Nothobranchius furzeri: one gene and its partner. The protein of the gene in region 2 binds, or shares a complex with, the protein of the main gene of each other region. Links are inferred from orthologs where the notes say so. Each region holds a gene or a part of one and is shown on either strand. Other genes may lie near its edges.

What was found.
Region 1: pigq (region 2) and phosphatidylinositol N-acetylglucosaminyltransferase subunit Y share a complex: the UniProt entries of both Homo sapiens proteins name them as parts of the glycosylphosphatidylinositol-N-acetylglucosaminyltransferase (GPI-GnT) complex. The link is inferred for Nothobranchius furzeri from reciprocal best matches to the Homo sapiens genes PIGQ and PIGY.

The regions. Positions count from the first base shown.
Region 1 is NC_091744.1:85,184,220-85,186,998, reverse strand, and holds phosphatidylinositol N-acetylglucosaminyltransferase subunit Y, read left to right. Parts: upstream 1-1,581; coding exon 1,582-1,794; 3' UTR 1,795-2,090; downstream 2,091-2,779. Other genes in the region: pyurf (protein preY, mitochondrial), read left to right, coding at 1-140, 1,348-1,489; triadin, read right to left, coding at 2,330-2,464. UniProt on the Homo sapiens protein: Part of the glycosylphosphatidylinositol-N-acetylglucosaminyltransferase (GPI-GnT) complex that catalyzes the transfer of N-acetylglucosamine from UDP-N-acetylglucosamine to phosphatidylinositol and participates in the first step of GPI biosynthesis.
Region 2 is NC_091745.1:17,743,522-17,747,347, reverse strand, and holds part of pigq (phosphatidylinositol N-acetylglucosaminyltransferase subunit Q), read right to left. Parts: coding exon 3,812-3,826; intron 2,913-3,811; coding exon 2,716-2,912; intron 2,595-2,715; coding exon 2,398-2,594; intron 2,196-2,397; coding exon 2,064-2,195; intron 1,573-2,063; coding exon 1,452-1,572; intron 1-1,451. UniProt on the Homo sapiens protein: Part of the glycosylphosphatidylinositol-N-acetylglucosaminyltransferase (GPI-GnT) complex that catalyzes the transfer of N-acetylglucosamine from UDP-N-acetylglucosamine to phosphatidylinositol and participates in the first step of GPI biosynthesis.

The DNA of each region.
Region 1 (2,779 bases), on a different chromosome or scaffold from region 2:
CGAGCCGCGTTTAGACCGTCGTTAACGTCCGCCCGAGTCCCGGTGAGGAGTCTGACCGACGCCAAGGACGAAGTGCAGCCGCCTTTCGATTCCTCCCTGCTGGACTTCCTGGTGTGTCCGCTGTCCAAGAAGCCACTCCGGTAACGGCAACAAAGTGTTTCAGAGTTCATCTGTTTTGATTTTAGTTTTTTAACTAGCGGCGTCCTTTCTAACTTCATATAAAAGCATTAAGACGTAGGCACGCGCTTGTCCTGTACCGCGGTGAAGTTAGCTTGTAGTTGGACGTTGGATCTTCGACAGACGTTGGTTCGCCCGGTCAGCGACACTGCAGCTTTTAGCACATTTCGCAAGATCTGATCATTATTTTTAGGATTTAAATAAAAAATGAAGTGATTTCTTTCAAAAGCTGCCAGGTTAATTGATTTTAATACCCAAAACCATTCCTAAATGGTGTTGCTAACTAAGCCAGACCATTGAGACACAGCAGTTTTTAACACCTTTCATACTAACTGATCTTTTTTATTAGGATTTTTATCAAAAATTAAGGGATTTCTTTCACTGGCTTAGTAACATCATTGGGAAATTGTTTTGGGCGTTTACATCAATTAAACAAGGATGTACTATGTTTGAATACATCCTACTTAAGAATTAGTCAAAGCTGCATTAGAGGCAGTGTAAAGGTGAAATCTACCCCCCCCCCCCCCCCACACACACACACACACACACACACACACACACACCGTCGTTGTCTTCCTCCGCTTATCCGGGTCGCGGGGGCAGCAAGAACCTACCCAGCGAGAGCTGAAGGTCAGAGCTGGATGAAGCTAGGAGGACCACATCATCCGCAAAAAGCAGAGACGAGATTCTCCTGCCTCCAAACTCGACACACTCCACACCACGACTGGCTCCGGCCACCTTGCGACCACAGCTAGCAACAGCCGCCTTAACAATCGCAGAGTGGAACAAGGCCCACTCGGAGTCAATGTCCCCCACTGGTCTCGGGACGCGGTCAAAGCTCTGCCGGAGGTGGGAGTTGAAGACCGTCTTGACAGGTTCTTCTGCCAGGCGTTCCCAGCAGACCCTCACTATGCGTTTGGGTCTGCCAGGTCTACGCGACATCTTCCCCTGCCATCTGATCTAACTCCCCACCAGGTGGTGATCAGTTGACAGCTCCGCTCCTCTCTTCACTCTGGTGTCCAAAACACACGGCCGCAGGTCGGATGATACGACTTCAAAGTCTATCATCGACCTGCGACCTAGGCATTCATTATTAGAAATGACTGAACCAACGCATAAAACAGTCTAATCTGTTTTCCAGATAACTGATGTTCTTTTTCTTTCCTCTAGGTATGATGCCAATACCAACGAGCTGATCAATGAGGAGCTTGGCATCGCCTATCCCATCATCGACGGCATCCCCAACATGATCCCCCAGGAGGCCAGACTCCTTCAGAAGGACACAGACGCTTCTAATCCACCTGCACAGTAACAGAAAGTCTATCAAAGACCTTCATTTGCCAGAAAACCGATTGAGCACTGCTATTTTTTTAAAGAAAAAAACTGTAAAGCTAATCTGCTAGAATGCTCTCCTTGTCCGTGATGGTGGGACTGGTCCCCATCGTGTCACTCATTGGCTTGTTCTACTCTGCAGCCGTGGATGAGAACTTCCCTCAAGGCTGCACCAGCGGCAACAGTCTGTGCTTCTACAGCCTGCTGCTGCCGGTCACCATCCCCGTCTACGTCTTCTTCCATCTCTGGAGCTGGATGGGGATCAAGCTCTTCAGACACAACTAGGATGCTCTCTGAAAACAACCCACGGCATGTTTTCTGATGCACTTTTACCTCCTTTACCAACTTCAGTAACATTATTTTCTTTATTTCATGTCTGTTAAAGTCTGCTAGACTTGGGTTTTACTTGTCTGGAAGTTTAGGCTTGCAGGTAGGACTCATAGTAACCGAGTCCGTGTAAACGCTAACTGCTACTGAACAAACTCCTGTTATAAAATGGATAAATGTAACCGATTTAACAACTGAACTTCTTGGATTTTTCCAGTTCTTGCAGAAAAGAATAAACAACTTTATTGGAATAAGTTACTTTTATTTGATAAAAACATTTTCACACAGAACAGCTATTTAATGTCTGTTTTATGAAATGTGAACGTACTTCAGGGAGGAACAATCCAGCAAACATGCCTGTACTTCAAACACAAACTATCATCTTTTCATGCAAAACAAAACAAGTTTTAAAAAAGCTCGAACTTTTAAGCCTTTGACCCAAAATGCTCCGAAACAAACAAGAACAGCTTTCATCGTACGTTCACGTCCTTCCTTAGTGACACTTTTTGCTTTTAGGGTTTCTGCCCTGAGAAAATTTGGTCAGCGGAGACTCCGGCCGAGGCGACTGCCATTCTCCTTTTGTCTTGAAGAAGAAGGGTTTGTTTAGTCTCAGCTGGACCGCTCCGACCTGGGGGGGGGGGGAGGCTCTCTGTTAAACAGTGACACTTGTAAAAAGAACCACAGTCTGATAAAAGCATGAGAGGTTTGTGATACGTAGCATATGATTCAGGGCTGTCCAACTCGGACCCTTTAGATCTACCTATTGGGCCATTCCCATCTGTACCGGGTCGGCCCGGGCCGGGTAGCATAGGTTGTTTACATATCTGGGTGGCCTGGTATTTTTCCGGGCCAACCAAGGCTCATTCTCAGCCCTCTTCTCGAGGGGGTCTGCTTCAGGCCGACCAGGGCCAACACACCCACTGCTGACAGCAAATTCACACCT
Region 2 (3,826 bases):
AATATGAATGCTATCAGCGCTGTTTTCTTTTCTAAACTTGCAGGCACGTTCACCCGTGTTTAAAATTCCTTTTGTTGAATTAAAACAACGAAAAACCTCCGTGTAGCGTCTTTCTGTCTAATTATCTCATGTTATGGCCGTACATGCGCTGTGCGCTGGAGACCTGCGGCTGCTGCGCCGTAGCTTGTGTTTGAGTGCAGCGTGTGTGTGTAGAAAACCGTTTTTATTGTTGGTGCGGCTTATATTGAGGTGCGCTCTATAGTCCGGAAATTACAGTAATCTGGTCTGCTGCAAATGATTCATCACTGGGTTTATTCCTGATGAGGCAGAAGAAGAGCCACCTGGAGTATTTATGTGTTTACACCCACTACCAAAATGAGGAAGGGTGTGTGTGTGTACATGCAGTATTTTGATTTAACTCTGGCCCAAATTTACCAAAGGGATGTGAATAAATGACAATTAGGCTTCAGCCCTCAAGAACAGACTTCTGCACCATTTATAGATGATTAACATCCATCTAATCTAATCCATCGTCTCTTAAAGTGATGAGTTTTACAAACACATTGTCAGATGCTTTAGAATCCTGCTGCAGATACATTCAGATTAAAAACTCTCAATCAAAATCCTCTTAAACGGTGCACCGCTTCCTTGAGGAATGCCCATCGCATCAGACAGTGAGGAGAAAGTGGAGTCCATCGATCAGGACCGAAATCAGAAACTTGTTTATTTATTTCTTTTCTTTTCAATTATCATTATTTCCCATTAGTAAAAAAAGTAAAAGTAAGAGGGTGCAGACTGGGAATACGAAAATGTTTATTGTTTTAGAAATCCTGAACATGTTTCCTCTGGAGTGACTTTGTTCCATTTTAGTGAATCAGCAACTCACTAAAAGGACAAAAAGAAAAAACAGGTTTTACTTTGCTCTGTCACTTCTGTCCTCGCTGTGTCCATCCTTCGTTTGTGCAGCACGATCAGATTTCAATAAGTGCTGCTTGGTCTCACCTGCTTACTTCACGGGTGTTTCTGTCAACATTTAATGAGTGGTTTGCTTGAGTAGGAGAAATAAAGCAGCACCTAAAACATGTGCTGCTCCTCCTAGAAATGATGCATTAGGTGGTCATCTGCAATGGATTCGCTTTTGTAGTCGGCCTAATTAAAAACGGACGTCACAGCCAATCAATAAGATCTAACTCATAAATAACTAGAACTGCAGCTTTTACACATAATGAGCTAATCTTATGCGTTAGTAGCTGAGAGTTATTTTCCACTCGTGTTCCAAAAGTTCACACGATCTTGTGATTTGATAGGCCTTTAATTCTCTATTACTCTTCCTGCACATCACTGGTCATCAGCTAGTACTAATTACTAATGCAATTAATGAACAAACCTGATGTGTGAAAATCATGCAGATAAAAAGAACAAAACACTGTTGGTTCAGATTTCGGACGTACGTCAGCAGCAGGAACCAGGGCGTCGGCCAGCATGGAGATGTGATCGTCTCTGTAGAGCCACGACATGAGAAACACGCCAAGGGCCACGTCCACCAGAACCGACACTAGGATGTTAGCCTTCCTTCAGACAGAAATGCACAGATGTGAGAGCACGTCTGGGCAAACAGGAAGTCCAAAAACATCAACTGTGTGTGATGACTTGACCAAATGTTACGTTGTCCCATAACAGCTGTTCTGCTTCATTCTAAGACAGATGATAAATGATAAATGGCCCGCACTTGTATAGCGCCTCTCAGAGTAAGGACTCCAAAGCGCTTTACACTACAGTGTATCATTCATCCATTCACACACACATTCACACACTGGTGGTGATGAGCTACGATGTAGCCACAGCTGCCCTGGGGCGCACTGACAGAGGCGAGGCTGTCGAGCACAGGCGCCACATGTCCCTCCGACCACCACCAGCAGGCAAGGTGGGTTAAGTGTCTTGCCCAAGGACACAACAGCAGAATTCTCTGTCCGGAGCCGGGATCGAACCTGCAACCTTCCGATTACTGGACAACCCGCTCAACCTGTTGAGCTACTGCTGAGCAGTTTGACTCTGAGGTTTACCTCATGAACTGGGTGTGACCTTCAGCTGATTTAGGCGAACTGAGCGTCCTCATGTGCTCTGTCCTGTAGCTGAGCTGGATAAAAGTGGACAGTATAGAGGACAGGAAGCAAAGCGGGAAAACACTGAAGATCCTGGACAGAAACAGAATAAAGATGCAGACTAAACAACAATGAATGTTAGTTTCTGAGATGATCTGATGATATTTGCGTATTTTGCATTTCTGCTCAGATAAAATCTAAAGATGTCAGAAAGGACTTTCTGTTGCTTTTGGACAAACTCTAGAGAAGAATAAATAAAACAACCGTTGAGGGACCCGCCACCACTTCTTCTCACCAGATGTTGCAGGTCCACGTCCACACAGAGAGCAGCCAGCTGATGAAAATGCAGAGAGGCACTGAGGCCTGTTTCATCAGCTCCACGATGATGCTGGCCTCTCTGCCTTCAGACTGCCAGTGAGTCGACTTCAGCAGCCCGTCGTCGTATTTGTCGAGGAAGAAGAGCGGCTGACTGTGCGCCACCGTCTGAAACATCTACAAAGGAGGAGAAAGAAAGGAAAAATGCAGATTTAGCATTTTTTATTTAACAGATAATCATTCTGTAGTTCTAAACAATGAAGGTAGTTCTGAGCGGTGAGGAAACGTTGTCTCGTACCTCCCTCAGCTCAGTCGAGGGTTCACTTTTGTTCTCTGGGTTTTCATTCGCTATGGGATGAAGCTGCGACAGCATCACCTTCCTCTGCTCATAGTGAACAAAGATCACCTTCTCTTCAGCTTCCTCCTCCCCATCACCTCCATCCTTGCTCTCTTTCTTTGCTTCTGCTTCGTTGCTTCGCCGAGCTGACCCTCCGGCTGGTAACAAAATAAAAGAAGCTTTTTAAATCAAACCGAAGCAGAAAAAAATAATAATTCACCCAGCTGACACAGACAAACACAATGTCTAAATGACAGACTTGATTATTTTGCCATTTAAATTTTAAACACATTTCAAAAACAGAAAAAATAAGATCGACAGGTGGAGTGGTTCGGCGTCTGCAGTGATGCGGACGCTGAGCCGATCTGTCGTGGTGAAGAGGGAGCTGAGCCAGAAAGCCAGGCTCTCGATTTACCGGTCGATCTACGTCCCAATCCTCACCTATGGTCATGAGCTTTGGGTAATGACCGAAAGAACGAGATCGCGAATACAAGCGGCCGAAATGAGTTTCCTCCGTAGGGTGGCCGGGCTCAGTCTTAGAGATAGGGTGAGGAGCTCGGATTTTCGGGAGGGGCTCGAAAGGAGCCGGTTGAGATGGTTTGGGCATCTGGTCAGGATGCCTCCTGGACGCCTCCCTGGGGAGGTGTTTCGGGCATGTCCTGCCGGCAGGAGGCCCCCGGGTCGACCCAGGACACATTGGAGAGGTTACATCTCCAATCTGGTCCGGGAACACCTTGGGGTCCTGCCGGAGGAGCTGGTGGAGAAGGCCGGGGAGAGGACGGTCTGGAGCTCCCTAGTTGGGATGCTGCCCCCGCGACCCGGACCCGGATAAGCGGAGGAAGATGACAACGACGACGAGAAAAAATAAACTGTCAACTAAATAGTAGTAGAAGTAAAAGAGGTTTTATCTGGTAAGAATAATTTAAATTATTTCAATTAAAATATTCAGATTCACATTTTGTTGTCTCAGATTCTCAAATGAGAAGTCAAAGTAAATCCAGAACGTTTGAAACATTTTTATTTCTTTCGATTTTTAACTGAAGAGAAGAAAACTAACATAAAAAAATGAAGG